4 linked regions of the Saccharomyces cerevisiae S288C genome follow. Changing the gene in region 4 together with the main gene of any one other region gives a genetic interaction. Each region holds a gene or a part of one and is shown on either strand. Other genes may lie near its edges. The genes, in order: CLA4, HSL1, HST3 and FKH2.

Region 1 (4,673 bases), 430 kb from region 4:
GAGAAATTAAGAAAGTTAACTGCTCCTTATCTTTCTGCAAGAATTGCCCTTGCTCTTAGAAGATATATCTCAGATGAATACTTGATTGGGCGAGCACCAATACCAAAATTGCGTAAAACAGAACTAGCTACTCTATTAAATGGGCTATGCGTGATTTTAAGAGGTGTTCTAGATCAAAATTCGACCCTTGGCAACAAACAAATTGGAGTTGAAAACCTACAAACATTAAGTCCGTTGATTTTAAGAACCATCCCAGTATCTCATAAAATGGATGGCCTCCAAGATAAAGTTTTGGAATTATCACTTGGATTTACGAAACTAGACTAGAAGCTGAAGCATGGACGAATATTTTTAAAAATCACGTAGGATAAATAGTAATATTAAACGACATTGGATTGATTATTGTATCGTTGCAGGTCTTTTTTTATTTACTTTAAAAAAAAAACTTTTAAGGTGAACGTATTTATATATTATGCCATTGGTATGCATAGCTAAAAGAAAAGAAATACATAAGATTGTAGTATGTATGATATGCTTATAGAAATAGTTGTGTGCTTCATTCCTTCCACTCCAACAGTGATGTCAAATCCTTTGGATCACATGCCATATTGAAAAAACCGTGGTGTAAAAGCTCTTCGGTTGATGCCCTATATCTAACATCTACGCAAAGGCAAACGCTTAGAAAGCGTTTAATTTCTAAAGACAAACTTTCTGGATGCTTGAGCTTTGGTGTACCATTAGTTGCAATTAAGTACAACGCCTTTAGTGGATCTTCATTTAAATATGGTGGTTCACCCTCCAGCATTTCAATGGTCATGATACCCAAAGACCATACGTCAATCTTTTCATCGTATTCACGTTGTTTGACAACTTCAGGTGCCATCCAGTAAGGTGTCCCAACCATAGTGGCTCTTTTGCTTCTTTTATCAGTTAATCTGGCGCAAAACCCAAAATCGGTAATTTTCACCCTAGCTCTAGTGTCCAGCAAGACATTATCTGATTTAATATCCCTATGAATGATATGCTTGTCGTGTAGAAATTTCAAGCCTTGGCAAGTTTCTCGTACGATATATGCAATTTGGGGTTCTGTTAGTGGTGAATGTGAATTATCGTTGGTGGGACTATTCTCGATAATGTCTGTTAGTGAACCTCCTTCCATAAACTCCATCACAACCCATAGGTCATCGTCTGTTCTCAAATAAGCCTCGAGAAAATTGACGATATTTTTATGACGTGAATCCTTCATAACCAAAATTTCATTCACTATGAGTTCTTTACGAGGTTGTTTAGATAAGACCATTTGCTTGATAGCAACTTTATCTCCTACGTGCGGCTCATCAATATCATTGTTTATGAGTTCGATCATATTACTTTCTGTCGGAATATGCGTCCTCTCTGCAAGGTAGACGGACCCACTTGCACCTTGACCGGCCTTCTCGATCACTTTAAAGCATTGAGATGGATCCGCATTTACGGTGACTTTCTTCAGCTTACTCATTATTTCTGCAGTTGACATGGTAGGCCTTGCTGGCTTCTTCGGTTTGGCCACACCACCCGGTTGTGCGACATCTGCATCCGGTCTCTTTGGGGCCTGCCTCATTGTTTGTGGGGTTGACTGGTCATTCTTAGGTGCAACAGGCTGTACATGTGTGTTACTAGTAGCATTTTGATTTGATGGGTATGGCGCCCTTGGAGCTGATATTGGTGGCTTTGGAGCTGTTCTTTGAGGTTGAAAGTGTGCGGCTGTAGGACTTGAGTTTTGTGCATAACGTGGAATTGCTTGGTTTTGGGTCGACTGTGAACTTAATGGCGATTGAGGTTGTTTGGAATAAGGATTTATCATATTGTGATGTGGCCTATAAGGGTTTAATGGAGACGGAGATGGGGATGGAGATGGAGATGGTCCTTGATGGTGGTATGGATATTGTTGATGCTGTTGTTTTTGTTGCTGCTGCTGCTGCTGCTGCTGCTGCAAAGATCGTTGAGAATTGTTTGGATGCATAGGTCCCCTAGGAAATTGGCCATTGGTTGGGGAGTGTCCGTTTCTCATCTTAGGATATTGTTGGTTGGGAACATTTTGTAAGTGTCTTGGAATATTTGACTGACTAGTGGGCAATTTTGTATTTATTGGTGGCAGTGAGCCGCTTCCTAGAGAAACAGGCGATTTGGTATTTGGTGGTTGTGAGGTTTTCCTCTGTGATACCATACTTGAAGAAACGCCTGAAGATGACTTTGAATTTACTGAATTATTTCTGAGTTTGTTATCATTATAGCTGTTTGGCAGCGATTTTTGAGAGGAGGAAGTTTCACCACTTTGAGGCTTGTCTAAAGTATTTGTGGGATTTCCGGCTCCATTATACTCTTGATAAAACTGCAACACTTGAATGACAGCCGCAGAATTATTGTTCCAATCTTCTCCTGTAATTCTGGAGTGCTTTAATAATTTTTCCCAGTTGGTGGGCATACCAACAAAACTACCTGTTTCTGGATCAAAACCAACGTGAACTTTATGTGTGAAGTTTGTTGGAGAAGATACACCACTTAATAATGGACATTTAGCAAAAATGGCGTCTAACCAACTATGCAAATCGCTTTCTGTCTTTGTAGCAATGTATATTGATTTTTTGGAGTTACTGTCTGATGATACATTCAAAGAGGACGAGGATCCTGATGATACAGAATTTCGGTCACTGCAGCGCACCAACTCAAAACAATATTGTTTCAACTGTGTCCTGCTTACACTTATAATACTAGTTAGTGGTATCTTCAAGATCGCATCGTCATTTTGTTTATCGTTCTTGTAAAGGGCTACATACGAATCGTGTAGCATCAGGTATCTCTTTTGCCATATAAATGAAAGTATACCGTCATCTTTGTAGGACACCCACCCGCTTTTTTTTTTGGAGGTACTTGTACCTAAATGGGACGCTGATGTTAAATCCAGTTGACTCATAAGTTTGGTTATAGGTTGCGTTTGATTATAGCAAGTACGGCCCTGGCTATTTGAACTGGGAGGTCTAGGTGCCGGTCCGATATTTTGGAAATCGTTGTCAGATATCTTATTCGCTGCAGCTGAAAGAGACATATTTTGCACTATTTCTTTTATGTTTCAGTTTCACTGTTCGATTTATTACACCAAAGAAACCACCAGGAATGAATGATAGCAAAAGATGCAATGGTTTTCAGTAGCGCAGTACGTTCGATCGAAATAAAGGACTTAAGGTTTTGATCTTATTAGCAGCAGAAGCAAATAACTGGCAACGCTAATACATGTACAAGGCTCAGGCTAGAAGGTTCTTTCAAATTATGTGTCTCGAATCAGACTCTCCTGCACGTTCCATACTATGTTTCTATCATGCCAGAGATGAAAAATTTCGTCATCTTACCGGCTCGAGAAAATTTCCATATCGGGAAACTATCCTTTTTTGGTGGCTCTATATTTCCGGAAAGGGAAAATACCCACGCGTTTGATATCATTAGCTTATTGTTTCACTTGGACATCGATGTGGTATTCTTGTATAAATAGTAAATAGTCTATAAGAGTCTATATTGTGTTAAAGAGCCTGGCCTTTAGAGAGCCAGTAGTCCCTTCTCGTTTGAGCATCTACTGTCTTAGTTTCCAGTGGTGATTTCTCATCTTGTCCCGAAGGGGTATCTCTTCCTTTTTGATCTTGATCGGATTCTTGATCATTCTCAGAAAGTCCCATCAAGTCATCTATGCTGAGGTTGTTTTGGTGTAGGAGAGAGCCCTGATCAGTTTTTTTCACTTTGCGTTTCAATTTGCTTCTGCTCACTCCAAAATCCGGAGGTGGAGATGGAATGGCACTCTTTTTGATTTCCCCTTCTCTCTTATCCTTTTTTGCCTTCTGTTTCTTCTTTGCAGGTTCGTCAAGTTTGTAGATCTCCTCTACTGGCAAGTCTTCGGTGTCGTTTATAAATAAATCTTCTTGAACTATCCTCGTGCGCCTCTTGTGGTAGCGCTCGTTTTCAATGATGGCTTTATTCTGCACTAAATCTCTTTCGTCGTTGAAATCTCTCTTTTGCCCACGGTATTTGATCACGTTTCCGAGTATACTTTTTCCAACGCGGTCTTTGAATGTAGCAGAATTCAATTCCCAGCATTTATTGACCAACAGTTCGAAGGCACCAGCAAAGGCCTTTTTTATATCCTTCATATTAAAGGAGCCTCTGCTTATATTATTGTTAGGATCACCAGGATCTTGAATAGCTAGCGAGAATTTACTCCTTGAAGGTTCCAAAGTTCTCCAACACGATTTAGGAATATAAGAGGCGTAACCATCAGATATGCTTATAGCAACGTCATCATAACCAAAATTTTTTCCGTAAAGTTCGAAGAAGTCAATCAGTAGAACACCCAGGTTATCTAGAACGTCGATATCGTTTGATTTTATTCGCGGATGCATATTTAAAAAAGAATAAACCAAACAGATTACTGTGAAACCTCCCAATCCTCCTGTGTGCACATTGTTCAATCGTCTTGAATGCAAAAATTGTTTTATTATCAGTACCAGTTCACGTAACCCTGGAGAGTCTCTTAGCCATTCCCTGATGAGTTTTGCAGCCTCTAACCCGTTCGTTCTTTCAAATGAAACGTCGATATGTAACTGTGATTGGGGCTCTATGAATTTGATAATAGGCACTCGCGTTTTAAC
Region 2 (6,696 bases), on a different chromosome or scaffold from region 4:
GGATAAAGGCAGATAGGTTAGTTCCATTTCTTATAGTGTAGAATTTCCCACCATCTTCGCCAATGGAGTCCTGCCAATTGGATTTCTCGCTCAAGTATTTGAAGTTATGCTTATCTAACAGCTCCGCGAAAAATGATACTACATGGTAAGTGGTAGGGTTCTTGTAAATGAAATCAATGAATTCCTGTGCAATATCCTCATAATTGTGCTCGAGGATGCACCACGAATTTTCATTTTCTTTCTTTTCCTTTTCTTCGTTGGCGATTTGGTTATTTTTAGATGGCTCTACAGTTAGCATCTGCAGAGTTTTCTTCAATTGTTCCAGTATTTCACGTTGTTCCTCCATTCTTTTTTTCTTAATTTTGTTGGTTGTGCAGGTTTCTACAATTGCACTAAGATTACTGATCAGGCTCTATACAGTGTATGTCTTGTTCTGTGAAGTCAACTGCTTATAAATGAATTTTTATTATCTAATGGAACGATTAAGGGGTGTGTCAACTATTTCACTTAACCCTATTCTTTCTTACTGTCGTTTGCTTGCATAGCCTATCTTACAGTAATAGAGGTGCAAAACAGCATCACCCCTAGTTGTTTTTCCCGAAAAACCTATCCCAGATTATTTTTTTTTTGAATTAGACAAGAAATCATCCGAAGACCTATTATGCTTCTGATTAAACCTTGAGAAAAACGGAAGTTTGCAACCTATACCCTAAAGTAGAAGCTGACTAATTCATATTCCTCACGAAATGGTGCGACCTCTCTTTATCCATGAGAAAAGGAAGGAGTGGGTTCTTGTTTGATGCTTCTTTATCTGATACCAACAAGCGCAAGAGATAAGGGATTACAATGTTATCATGCCTCAGAAAGTAATAGGATGACATTTTCTTGCAAACGTTGACATTAAAAACATAAAGTACCTTACGGCGTTCGGAGCCTACAAGCCTGCCACAATTTGAGCCGCTGCACAAGAGAACACCGAATGAACAACTGGCTGCAGCTGTCGATGAAACCTCAGCGAATAAAGCACACATTTGTGCGTTTTACAATAACAGGGAAGGTGGAATGTGTTGCCTTCGTCCTTATTTTTCGCGTTGTGAAATATTTTTACTAATTTTTCTTTTCGCGTGGTCATTTTCGCGTTGGGTTGTTTGGGCTAAATAGTGAAAACTAATCTCCATCACGTACCGTACCGTCTTGTACCGGCTGGGAGCAGCATTATAGTGGCCACTCTTATTGGCGTTCTTAATATAAGCAAGTTACCTTTTGCTCGAAACCTGTTTCTTCTTAAAACTCCCTTTGGATCGTAAGTTCGCTAGTTATCCGACTGCAAGGACGTAAATTGGACAGCGAGAGGCCATTAAAACAGAGAGTTGAACTCAAATAGATCATCAAATAGGTTGGATATCCATCATACTACTTGCTACTAATCGCGAAAAGAGATAAATAATAAAATTACAAGAAAGACAAGGTAAAAAGAACGACATAGATTTGCGGGACAAAAAATACTGATAAATAAATCAACAACCAACTATATTCACTCCTTTATTATTTGTTATTAATATTTTTTATTTTTACCACACGACATGACTGGTCACGTTTCAAAAACGAGCCACGTACCCAAAGGTCGCCCGTCTTCATTGGCCAAGAAGGCAGCTAAAAGGGCCATGGCCAAAGTAAATTCGAATCCAAAAAGGGCGTCGGGGCATTTGGAGCGTGTTGTACAATCTGTGAACGACGCTACCAAAAGATTATCTCAGCCCGACTCTACCGTAAGTGTTGCTACAAAATCATCAAAGAGAAAATCCAGAGACACGGTGGGTCCTTGGAAACTTGGCAAAACATTGGGGAAGGGATCTTCTGGTAGGGTTCGCTTGGCTAAAAATATGGAAACAGGACAATTAGCTGCCATTAAAATTGTCCCCAAGAAGAAAGCCTTTGTTCATTGTTCTAATAATGGAACTGTTCCTAATTCTTACTCTTCTTCCATGGTCACTTCCAATGTATCTTCTCCATCAATAGCATCTAGAGAACATAGTAACCATTCTCAAACGAACCCATATGGCATAGAGAGAGAAATAGTAATCATGAAATTGATATCTCACACAAACGTTATGGCATTGTTTGAAGTTTGGGAGAACAAATCAGAGCTGTACCTAGTTTTGGAATATGTTGATGGTGGCGAATTATTCGATTATCTGGTCTCGAAGGGAAAGCTACCTGAAAGGGAGGCTATCCATTACTTCAAGCAGATAGTTGAAGGTGTTTCCTATTGTCATTCTTTTAATATATGCCATCGTGATCTGAAGCCTGAAAATTTATTATTAGATAAAAAGAATAGGAGAATCAAAATTGCTGATTTCGGCATGGCAGCATTAGAGCTTCCTAATAAACTTTTAAAAACTTCATGTGGCTCTCCACACTATGCGTCTCCTGAAATTGTTATGGGTAGACCATATCATGGCGGTCCTAGCGATGTCTGGTCCTGCGGTATCGTTTTATTTGCATTACTCACCGGTCATTTACCATTTAATGATGACAACATCAAAAAGCTGTTGTTGAAAGTTCAATCGGGCAAATATCAAATGCCCTCAAATTTATCTTCTGAGGCTCGTGATTTGATATCAAAAATATTGGTAATTGATCCAGAAAAAAGAATTACCACTCAAGAGATATTGAAGCATCCTCTGATCAAAAAATATGATGATCTCCCAGTTAATAAAGTGCTGAGGAAAATGAGAAAGGATAACATGGCGAGGGGAAAATCTAACTCGGATTTGCATTTGCTAAATAATGTCTCGCCCTCTATTGTAACTTTACATTCAAAAGGGGAAATTGATGAATCCATCTTGAGGAGTTTGCAAATTTTGTGGCATGGAGTTTCTCGTGAACTAATCACTGCCAAGTTGCTTCAAAAGCCAATGTCGGAGGAAAAACTATTCTACTCACTGTTATTACAATATAAACAACGTCACTCAATATCATTGTCCTCGTCAAGCGAAAACAAGAAATCAGCAACAGAAAGTAGCGTAAATGAACCTAGGATTGAATACGCATCCAAAACTGCCAATAATACAGGCCTAAGGAGCGAGAACAATGATGTGAAGACTTTACATTCTCTAGAAATTCATTCAGAAGATACTTCAACAGTGAATCAGAACAACGCAATTACAGGGGTTAATACAGAAATTAATGCCCCTGTATTGGCACAAAAATCGCAATTTAGTATCAATACGCTCAGTCAACCTGAAAGTGATAAGGCTGAAGCAGAAGCTGTAACATTACCACCCGCTATTCCCATATTCAATGCTTCTTCATCAAGGATTTTCCGTAACTCATACACCTCTATTTCATCACGTTCGAGAAGATCGCTACGCTTATCGAATTCCAGATTATCATTGTCCGCTTCAACTTCTAGAGAAACTGTGCATGATAATGAGATGCCTCTACCTCAACTGCCGAAGTCGCCTTCAAGATATTCATTGTCAAGAAGGGCAATCCACGCCTCCCCATCTACTAAATCAATACATAAATCACTTTCGAGGAAGAATATAGCTGCAACTGTTGCCGCTAGAAGAACACTACAAAACTCGGCTTCAAAGAGATCCTTATACTCATTACAGTCAATTTCAAAACGTTCCTTGAACCTGAATGATTTATTAGTCTTTGACGATCCTCTCCCTAGTAAGAAACCAGCATCCGAAAATGTGAATAAATCAGAACCCCATTCGTTGGAATCAGACTCTGATTTTGAGATCTTATGCGATCAGATCTTATTTGGAAACGCCTTAGATAGGATACTCGAAGAGGAAGAGGACAATGAAAAAGAACGCGACACCCAAAGACAGAGGCAAAACGATACAAAATCTTCGGCAGACACTTTTACGATCTCTGGGGTGTCTACAAATAAGGAAAATGAGGGCCCGGAGTATCCAACCAAAATTGAGAAAAATCAATTCAATATGTCATATAAACCATCTGAGAATATGTCAGGGCTCTCTTCATTTCCTATCTTTGAAAAAGAAAACACGTTAAGCTCAAGTTATTTGGAAGAACAGAAGCCAAAGAGAGCGGCCCTTTCAGATATCACGAACTCATTCAATAAAATGAATAAACAGGAAGGTATGAGGATAGAAAAAAAGATTCAAAGAGAACAACTTCAAAAAAAAAATGACCGCCCGTCACCACTCAAACCTATTCAGCACCAAGAACTTCGTGTAAATTCTTTGCCTAATGATCAAGGTAAACCGTCCTTATCTCTAGATCCCCGCCGTAACATCTCCCAGCCAGTGAATTCAAAAGTGGAATCACTATTGCAGGGACTGAAATTCAAAAAGGAGCCAGCCTCTCACTGGACCCATGAGAGAGGTTCCTTGTTCATGAGTGAACATGTGGAAGACGAAAAACCAGTCAAAGCCTCAGATGTTTCAATCGAAAGTTCATATGTACCTTTAACAACAGTAGCAACATCTTCGAGAGATCCCAGTGTTTTAGCAGAATCTAGTACAATTCAAAAACCAATGCTGTCTTTACCTTCTAGTTTTTTGAACACATCTATGACGTTCAAAAATCTTAGCCAGATACTCGCTGATGACGGTGATGATAAGCATCTAAGTGTGCCACAGAACCAATCTAGAAGTGTAGCCATGTCACACCCTTTGCGAAAACAATCTGCCAAAATATCTCTAACTCCACGGTCTAATTTGAACGCCAATTTATCCGTTAAACGTAATCAGGGCTCACCTGGCTCCTATTTGAGTAATGATCTGGATGGAATCTCTGATATGACATTTGCGATGGAAATACCAACAAACACCTTTACCGCTCAGGCGATTCAACTGATGAACAACGACACGGACAATAATAAAATCAATACTTCGCCCAAAGCATCTTCTTTTACAAAAGAAAAAGTAATCAAATCGGCAGCCTATATCTCGAAGGAAAAAGAACCAGATAATAGCGATACTAATTATATTCCAGATTATACTATACCAAACACATATGATGAAAAAGCCATTAATATTTTTGAAGATGCGCCCTCCGATGAGGGTTCATTAAATACATCTTCTTCAGAAAGCGATTCACGAGCAAGTGTGCATAGGAAAGCGGTATCTATTGACACTATGGCGACAACAAACGTTCTTACTCCCGCGACAAATGTTAGAGTAAGTCTTTATTGGAATAATAACAGTTCTGGTATACCCAGAGAGACTACTGAAGAGATACTTTCTAAACTTAGATTGTCACCAGAAAATCCTTCTAATACACATATGCAAAAGAGGTTTTCTTCCACGCGTGGTAGTCGTGATAGTAATGCATTAGGCATTTCTCAAAGTTTACAGTCAATGTTCAAAGATTTGGAGGAAGATCAAGATGGGCATACTTCTCAAGCTGATATTCTTGAATCAAGTATGAGCTATTCAAAGCGAAGACCATCTGAGGAAAGCGTTAATCCAAAACAACGAGTGACAATGCTTTTCGATGAGGAGGAGGAAGAATCTAAAAAAGTAGGTGGGGGAAAAATTAAAGAAGAGCATACCAAGCTAGACAATAAAATATCCGAGGAATCTTCTCAACTTGTGTTGCCGGTGGTTGAAAAAAAGGAAAATGCAAATAATACAGAAAATAACTACTCTAAAATACCAAAACCCTCAACGATTAAAGTTACGAAGGATACCGCTATGGAATCAAATACACAAACCCATACAAAAAAGCCAATTCTAAAAAGTGTCCAAAATGTTGAAGTTGAAGAAGCGCCTTCCAGTGATAAAAAGAATTGGTTCGTCAAACTATTTCAAAACTTTTCTTCTCATAATAATGCTACTAAGGCATCCAAGAATCATGTAACGAATATATCATTTGATGATGCGCATATGCTAACATTAAATGAATTCAACAAGAATAGTATCGACTATCAATTAAAGAACCTAGATCACAAATTTGGGAGAAAGGTGGTGGAATACGATTGTAAATTTGTAAAAGGCAACTTCAAATTCAAAATCAAGATTACTAGCACACCCAATGCATCTACGGTAATTACTGTAAAAAAAAGAAGCAAACATTCAAACACAAGTTCCAATAAAGCCTTTGAAAAGTTTAATGATGATGTGGAGAGAGTAATTCGAAATGCCGGACGTTCATAAATTCTATATAGATGTTATATAATTATACAACAATAATTTGAAAAATTTAACGTACGAGAACCGAATGGACAGGCGTGAGAAAACATAGTTTAAAAGAACATTAATAAATGGAGAGACATGAGACACGAAGGAAAGAAAGAGGGTTTTACAAACATTGTCCTAGATTAGAAGATAAATACAACCCTGGAGGGGTAAAAAGAGCTGTCGTTTCTTTTGGAGCTCAAGAAGATTCGTCATCCAAGAGATCTTCTTCAGAAAGCTCTTCCTCAGAGCTGTCACTGAGATCTTCCTCTTGCACGAATTCTTCATCATCGTCAAAATTTTCGTTTACATCATCACCAAGCAAGGCATACTTGTCGGCATCATTATAGTATTCTGATAGGATGAAGGTCGAATAAGTTATAGAGTTCTCCTTTTTTTCTATCGCTTTTTTTAAACTTTTATCCACTTCAATCGTATCATACTGAAAATTCCAAAACTGCTTAAAATCCTTGTTCCAGCAAGCTACCAAAATAGTACTAATCAACAAGGAAGGAACAATGTATAATAAAGCCGG
Region 3 (3,593 bases), on a different chromosome or scaffold from region 4:
GTTTTTCTAAATGAGGAGTGTTCTTGACAGTCTTTGGAGCCCGCGTATGGTTCTCGGAGTGGTTGATTGGTGATTGTGGTTTTGGGATTGCAATGTCAGAGGGTAGGTAGTCTTTGTTTGGGTCCAAATTTAGTTTCTTGAACTTAGATAAAATTTCCGGATCCTGCTTATCATTAGGAAGTAGTTTTTGGTTGTTTAAAACTGCCAATGGTTGGCTTGAATATAGTTTAGAATGTTTTAGTCGAGTATGGTTCACGATACCTTGCGCGGAAGTGAAACCGGAACGGTCACATTTGGAGCACGTAATTATAACCAAAATGCCGTCATATCTTCTAAAAATGGGCTCATTATTTTCAGTCTTACCGATGATACCGCTATTGCTCGTCAAACAAGTGCTACTGTAATTACGTCTGTGGTTAAGATGCATCTGACTTGGTTTAAAAGGGAGTATCTGGAACCCCGGCTGCTCGTCTAAGGGGGAGATTGAGGAGGAACGAGGTGAAGAAATGCCATCCGAATTAGAGTGAGGAAGCGAGACGGGAGTGGGCTTGGTTATGGCTTCTGATAGAGATTTAGAACCTGTTAGCCTGTAATCAATTATATTCGAATTTGCCGGACGGAGGGCAGAAGGTTCTAGCAAAAGCCCGTTACTCTTGCTTCTAGTATGATAATGGTGGTGTGGTATGCGTGTTGTTGACAGATTTCTGTTGCTGCTCGAAGACAAAGGCTGACAGTTGATGTTATAATCCGATAGAACCGGGTATGACAGGTTATAATTTGATGCGTTCGTATTTTCCGTAGCCGTACTGTCGTGAAAGTGGCCGCCGAGCACGCTATGCTGCTGATGTTGTTTTATTTTGAGTTGATACGTCCGTTCGATTTTGTTCAATAGACCAGTATCCTTATGCAGGGTTTCCAAGAGAGCTAGTTTTGCGTTAACCTTTTGAACATTTCTTCGTAAGTGCCTAACATGCTTGTGGTTTAGCATTATATGTAGGTTCAAAACATTCTGTATTTCCCCTTTGGCACATTCGTACTTCAACCGCTGGGTATTTTCGCTATCCTTGTCCGGATTACTGGTGGCGGTGTCCATTTTGAAGGGCTCATCCATGTTGTTTTCCAAATCCTGAGGAGACTTTGGCGTGGTAACCTGATAAACGTTCGTCATCTTAGAGGATGACGATGAGGAAGAATTAGGATTATGATGCTGGTGCTGCAGTTTATCTTGGGCGGGACTCATCATGAGGAGATGGACATATACACAAAGTGTTGGATGAGAAGCGTGAGCCCGAAGAGTAGTGAAATGCCGAAGATCAGGGTGTTTATATGAACGAACACTAGCTTACAAATGTGGAAACGGGATCCTTCAGAGGTAAAATGCGCCTTCAGTGGCCAAAGTTCATCACCTTCCTTAGCACGGGTTCTTGCTGTCTGCTCTTCCTGCTTCTTCCCTGTTCGTTTTTCCCTCTTCCTACGGCTATGCACAGTGGCAAATGCACTGCATGTGTTTCTGTGGCGGGTATCCCTCAATTGCGGGTAACAATAAGTAACTCAACATCACGAACGACGTTTATGTTTGCTGTTACCACAAAGGGTAAAACGTCAATAAAAGCAAGCAATGTTATTCGTGCCAGAGAACTATATCTGGCGTACGTCTTATATATAACACAAGCAAGGGCAAATACGTGGTTAGTGGTGTAAAAACTGAAGGGATTAATTTACATACAACTAGATCCATCTTTCTCAAAAATGACTTCAGTATCGCCCTCGCCACCTGCCAGTCGATCGGGCTCAATGTGCTCCGACTTACCGTCCTCTTTGCAGACTGAGAAACTGGCACATATTATAGGTCTTGATGCCGACGATGAAGTTCTCCGGCGCGTAACCAAGCAGTTGAGCAGATCTAGGAGAATTGCTTGTCTGACTGGGGCAGGCATTTCGTGCAACGCGGGCATTCCTGACTTTCGCTCTTCTGATGGGCTCTACGACCTAGTGAAAAAGGATTGTTCACAGTATTGGTCTATCAAGTCCGGCAGGGAAATGTTTGATATTTCGCTATTTAGAGATGACTTCAAAATATCCATTTTTGCTAAATTTATGGAGAGGCTCTATTCAAATGTTCAATTGGCAAAGCCGACTAAGACGCACAAGTTCATTGCGCATCTAAAAGATAGGAACAAACTGCTGCGCTGTTACACGCAAAACATCGATGGGCTCGAAGAAAGCATAGGACTTACTTTATCAAATAGGAAATTACCGCTTACCTCATTTAGTTCACATTGGAAAAATCTGGATGTCGTTCAGTTGCACGGCGACCTGAAAACTCTTTCGTGTACAAAGTGCTTCCAGACTTTTCCCTGGAGCAGGTACTGGTCTCGTTGTCTAAGAAGAGGTGAGTTACCATTGTGTCCGGATTGCGAAGCACTTATCAACAAGAGATTGAATGAAGGAAAGCGAACTCTTGGTTCTAATGTGGGTATTCTAAGACCTAATATCGTCCTGTATGGTGAAAACCATCCATCCTGTGAAATTATTACGCAAGGCCTAAATCTTGACATAATTAAAGGCAATCCTGATTTTTTGATCATCATGGGTACAAGTTTGAAAGTTGATGGTGTGAAACAACTGGTAAAAAAATTAAGTAAGAAAATTCACGATCGTGGCGGCCTGATCATTCTCGTAAACAAGACACCCATTGGCGAATCCTCTTGGCACGGCATTATAGACTACCAAATCCACTCAGATTGTGATAATTGGGTCACATTTCTTGAATCCCAAATACCAGATTTCTTCAAGACGCAAGATCAAATTAAGAAGTTAAGACAGTTAAAAAGGGAGGCGAGCGACTTGAGAAAGCAAATGAAGGCCCAAAAAGACTCAATCGGAACCCCCCCAACAACCCCTCTACGAACTGCCCAGGGGATTGATATTCAAGGAAACAACGAATTGAATACAAAAATAAAGTCGTTAAACACAGTTAAGAGAAAAATACTGTCACCAGAAAACTCCAGTGAGGAAGACGAAGAGGAAAACTTGGATACAAGAAAACGCGCTAAGATACGACCAACTTTCGGTGACAACCAAGCCTCATAAACTTAACTATTAAAATTGAGTTAACGATAAATAATCGAGGCAGACACCCCTTTGCATAATATATCATCCGTTTAATTTATCTTCCATTTATATACTCATACATATACCAACGGAGATCTGCATGTCCGAGAATACAAAAAATAGTGAACGAAAAAAATATCACATCGCGAAAGAAAAGCTATCTGATATCTGCAACACGAAAACACAACAGTCGCGGCATGCAGATAGTACAAATTGAGCAGGCCCCAAAAGACTACATAAGCGACATCAAAATAATCCCTTCCAAGTCACTGCTTTTGATTACGTCTTGGGATGGCTCTTTAACAGTCTACAAATTCGACATTCAAGCAAAGAATGTTGACCTTTTACAATCGCTACGATATAAACATCCGTTATTGTGCTGCAATTTCATCGACAATACCGATCTGCAAATATACGTGGGAACTGTACAGGGTGAAATTCTAAAAGTTGATTTGATAGGTAGTCCCAGCTTCCAAGCT
Region 4 (4,749 bases):
TCATGTTGTCAACCAAAGATTTAACGGTTCTCAAAGCGGCAACGTGCTTTCTGTCACCGTTGTGAACAGCAACCTTGATCAATTGGTTGTTGACCTTGGTGAAGGTAACATCAATATGCTTCAAGTTCTTGGTCAAAGTACCTCTTGGACCGACAACCTTGACGATTCTGGACTTAATGCTGACAGTAACACCTTCTGGGATTTCAATTTGTTGTTCGGTTTGAATGTACTTCATCTTTAGTGACTATTGGAGGCTAGAGTTTGGTTTATTGTCGTTTCAGAGAGAGAAAATGAACTATTTCAAAAAGAGAATAGGTAAAGGGAAAGGAAATAGAAATATGGTTGGTAATTTTTTTTTTCATGTTTGCCGTCCGTTTAAATAATTTTCACTTTTCCTGTGCGTCGCTTTAAAAAAAAATTCACTAGAAGAAAAAAAAAAATTCCCAGTTAATAGTGCAGTCTTGGAAACAACACCAGTGCACCACATGAGTTTACACATCAGATGCAAACGGGATCGTACATTCGTAACATTGATGCTTGTATACGTCTCTCCTATAGTTCCTGGCAAGCACAACGTGTGACACAGAAGAAATGGCAATGCTAAACATGAAAATAGATTTTCTTGGCTGTAAGTAAATCGATTGCAAAATTGGTTCCTACCGCTACGATATCACACACTTGTCTTCTTAAAAGAGGAGCAGTAAATCCAAAATTTGCCTGGCATCAATAGTCGTCTTAAAAATGTCTAGAGGAACTACCTCTGTTATCTCTTCTTTTTGTTACTGACATACTAATTAATTTTTACATAATTGCTGTCCTCCTTCCCCTTCTATTTGCGAATTAGAAGTGATGAAAAAAGAGCTAAACATAAAGAAAAAAAACTTCCTTCGGCTGGTCCAAAAGGGTCCAATAGCAGAAAGTAAAAAGCTATTTTGAAACTATAGAACCTCAAGAACATTAACATTTGAGTCGGATCATGTCAACTGTAAGAACTGAATATTAATTCAACATATTTTAATAATTTGTGTCATATGTATCTTGCAACAGGCTTTCAAAAATTTGCTGCCTGTTGGGTACAGGCTGTTTTTTATTGATTACGCTTTATGCTTATCCCTTAAGCTGCAACATTTTGATGGCCTCTTCTTCCTGTCTCTTTCTGTGCCATATAATCGTTCCCTTAGCATTGATGATGACTTATGCCGGACCCCGCCCCAGAACCCTTCGCACAACATTACCGAAAATCTTCGATTTCGCTCATTAAAAGAGGGAAAAAAAATTCGCTCGCCCTGTGCCATTTGGATTTTCTAGGTAAATTAGTAAATAAAGAAAAAAAATGCCAATGGTTCCGCATTTCTAAAGGTAAACAAAAAAGTGACATTCATAGGATCACTATATTTCTGTAAAACTTAAAACACTATAGAGCAGTCCTTTTCCACTGAATTGAACCGCTCAATAATCAAGATCATACTAAGGAACAAAAGGCTAAAAACACTTCAAAGCCAATCTTCCCGATTCCCTCGCATAAGTGATCATTGCTAGAAAAAAAAAAAAAAAACAGTACGATACACATAAATATTGGTGTGCTCCCTCCGTTTCCTTTATTGAAACTTTATCAATGCGCAAGAAATGTCCAGCAGCAATTTTAACGAGATGAACGAACTAAATATGACTCAAACAAATTATGGCAGCACAAAATATACCGCTCAGCATCATCAAGGTGTAATAAATGCCATCATCTCTTCACTGACAGCCCCAGATCAGCCAACTACCGTATCATTACAATATTCCAACGACAAGAACATGGCGACGGAAATACAAGCTTATGCTAAACTCTCCGGACCAAACTGGACCTATTATGTGAAGGATTTGGAAGTTTCTATTGGTAGAAATACTGATCCCTTAAACAGTGCACTACAGGAAAATTCAGATGGTGTAAAAAACTCATATAGAGTGAATATTGATCTCGGACCTGCCAAAGTCGTTTCTAGAAAGCACGCCATAATAAAATACAACATGAATATCGGCGGTTGGGAATTGCACATATTGGGCCGTAACGGCGCTAAAGTAAACTTTCAAAGGACTCATAATGGACCCAACAATCCTCCCATTCGATTATCTTCCGGAACCCTGCTAGACATAGGAGGAACACAAATGATGTTTATCCTGCCCGACAGTGACCCGGTTGTTGCTCCTATTTGTATAGAACACCTGATGCCTAATTTAATAAACATGTTCGGATTGGAAGGCAACAACAACCCCCTGCTAAGAGACATTATAAAACAGTCTAATTATGCTAAGCAAAGGCAATTAACCTCTAATCAACAAATCAAAGGGTTTAAGCTTTATGGAAGTGGTGGCAATGCTCCTTTTGGTAGCGGAGCGAACTTGGGCCCTAGCGAACAAGGCATCTTCAACAACAATAATAATAGTAAGAACAAGAATGGCTACTTTACGTCCATAAACCCAAACTATACAGCATCTACAACAACAAGCAATACCATCAATCCACAAGCGGCTTCTCCACAGGGTCCTCCAAATACCATCATCGCTGCAAATTTTGTAGATTCATACAAGTCATCAAATGCCTATCCTCAAGCTTTGGATTTTACTTCGGACCTATCCCATGACGAAAACAGGAACGTTAAACCACCTCATTCATACGCAACTATGATAACACAGGCCATACTGTCGTCGCCGGAGGGAGTTATTTCACTAGCCGATATCTACAAGTATATTTCTTCCAATTATGCATACTACAGGTTTGCTAAATCCGGTTGGCAAAACTCCATTAGGCATAATTTATCATTAAATAAGGCGTTTGAAAAGGTTCCGAGAAGACCCAATGAGCCGGGCAAAGGTATGAAATGGAGAATTAGCGAATCTTATCAGCAAGAATTTCTAAACAAGTGGAATACCGGAAAAGTGGGGAAAATCAGGCGGGGATCCTCAGTAGCAAGGCAACTACAGTTACATATGGCAAAATTCAACAGTTTACCCATGGAAATGGACTATAGGTTATCGCTTAACATGGCTCAACCCCCTAAACGACAACTACAATCTCACAATGTGCTAGAACCATCCAACAATAACATCATAGAAGGGTTCGTACAACATGTCCCATCCAAAGGTAACCTTCCTGCATCGCAACAATCACAGCCCCCTGTGTCACATCAAAATCAGTCACAGCAGCCGCCACCACAGGAACAACGTCAAGAGATTCAATTTACCTTCGCGGATACCCAAAATCGAAATATAGCGTTAGCAAGACCTATCAAGACGCCACAATTGCAAGCTCCCAATTCAAATGCTAACTTAAATCAAAACAATATGAAAGAATACAAAGAGTCACTTCATCCGCCTGCAATATCAATATCACAAATGAATAGGCAATCTCCAAACAACGCTCTAGTCTCGTTCACTAATGCATGTGCTAATTCCAAAATAATAAACAACATCAGCGATAGCGCCGACAAATCGACAAACAATAACGGCGGTACCAAAATGAATCTACCCGCCATATCTACTTCTTCACTTGATGAAAATGGTAATTTGGAGCCGACAACTACCACGTCTTCCGGTAATTCTAACTCAGTTCCGCAAACTGGAACAACAACTTCCTCATTGGCAGCGAACAGTCTACGCCTTTCTCAACCATATGACACGCTATTACGATCTCCTACTAAGGCATTTCATATTACTGCGATGGAAGCATATACACCAGAAAGAGGAAGCGCTAATAGGGCTAGGTCACCTCTTCATAGTAATAGCAACAATACTAATAATAACGGCGCAAATAATTCTAATTTACAGACTAGCGGAATGGAAAACAAACAAACAGGTCTAGTATTGGATTCTAATGTCTTGAAAAGCATGGAATCAAACAATGATAATAGACGGCTGACACCATCAACAAGTAAATCGCAGAATGTCAAAAGTTCTCCAGGTGTATGGAATTTATTGCAGTTTAGCTCAACAAACAACACTCCTGCCGCAGATAGCGGAGGCAACAAGAGAGGATTTTCCATAAATCCGGACATTAAAGCCAAAGAAAACGAGAATGCTACTTCAGAAAAAGATTCGGACTCTAACTCAAATGATCTGGAAACTAAAGATATTAATTCTTCACCTTTGAAAAACCAAGGTGGTAGCACCGCCAATGCCAAGGAACTAATACTAGATACGGATGGTGCAAAGATCAGTATTATCAACAACTAAGACAAGAAACAAGGTGAATCACTAAGACTAAAGAAATGAATGAGAAATGGCTAAGCTGCAGCCAGTCATATGAGCTGCTTTCCTTTCATTCTATTGTCGTCCGAATCTATGTCACGAAGTACATATATAACTGTCTTTCATATATAATATTTAATCACCGTGCATTCCCTATTTTACTCTTCCTCATGCGTTTGATCATCTGACCTTTATGATTTTGAACACCCCGCAATGTTCACTCTAATTTATGCAACTGAACTTTATTTTCGCTGCTGTGTTTGCATCCTTGACATATTCAATCCGTACACTATACACACCCAAACCTCCTTTAAAAATTTCCTATGAATCAGAAAATTTGGCTGTTTCTCAACGCTTCGGCCAACGGGTGAAAAACAGCGGCAGAAGGACTTCCTTCGGAGAACGCTCCTAGAACCTGAAACTGCCCGCTAAAGCGTCTCCTGGGCTGTCCCCAAGTGGGTGATTTTCCATTTGATCCTTGTATCAGCTTGGGAGGGTGGTGATCTCTTCTTAGGCAGA

What was found.
Region 1: mutations in FKH2 (region 4) and CLA4 together harm fitness more than expected from each alone (negative genetic interaction), as found in Saccharomyces cerevisiae (5 studies listed by BioGRID, with this or other methods).
Region 2: mutations in FKH2 (region 4) and HSL1 together harm fitness more than expected from each alone (negative genetic interaction), as found in Saccharomyces cerevisiae (5 studies listed by BioGRID, with this or other methods).
Region 3: mutations in FKH2 (region 4) and HST3 together harm fitness more than expected from each alone (negative genetic interaction), as found in Saccharomyces cerevisiae (3 studies listed by BioGRID).

The regions. Positions count from the first base shown.
Region 1 is NC_001146.8:67,327-71,999, reverse strand, and holds CLA4 (serine/threonine protein kinase CLA4), read right to left. Parts: upstream 3,086-4,673; coding exon 557-3,085; downstream 1-556. Other genes in the region: MON2 (Mon2p), read left to right, coding at 1-327; non-canonical poly(A) polymerase TRF5, read right to left, coding at 3,555-4,673. UniProt on the Saccharomyces cerevisiae protein: Involved in budding and cytokinesis.
Region 2 is NC_001143.9:247,337-254,032, forward strand, and holds HSL1 (protein kinase HSL1), read left to right. Parts: upstream 1-1,583; coding exon 1,584-6,140; downstream 6,141-6,696. Other genes in the region: metalloaminopeptidase APE1, read right to left, coding at 1-346; YKL102C (uncharacterized protein), read right to left, coding at 726-1,031; YPF1 (aspartic endopeptidase), read right to left, coding at 6,361-6,696.
Region 3 is NC_001147.6:376,470-380,062, forward strand, and holds HST3 (NAD-dependent histone deacetylase HST3), read left to right. Parts: upstream 1-1,749; coding exon 1,750-3,093; downstream 3,094-3,593. Other genes in the region: AHC1 (Ahc1p), read right to left, coding at 1-1,243; BUB3 (Bub3p), read left to right, coding at 3,312-3,593. UniProt on the Saccharomyces cerevisiae protein: NAD-dependent histone deacetylase, which contributes together with HST4 to histone H3 'Lys-56' deacetylation, regulation of telomeric silencing, proper cell cycle progression, DNA damage control, DNA recombination, and genomic maintenance.
Region 4 is NC_001146.8:495,167-499,915, reverse strand, and holds FKH2 (forkhead family transcription factor FKH2), read left to right. Parts: upstream 1-1,626; coding exon 1,627-4,215; downstream 4,216-4,749. Other genes in the region: 60S ribosomal protein uL6 RPL9B, read right to left, coding at 1-235; YNL067W-B (uncharacterized protein), read right to left, coding at 359-499. UniProt on the Saccharomyces cerevisiae protein: Transcription factor that regulates the expression of the CLB2 cluster of genes during the G2/M phase of the mitotic cell cycle.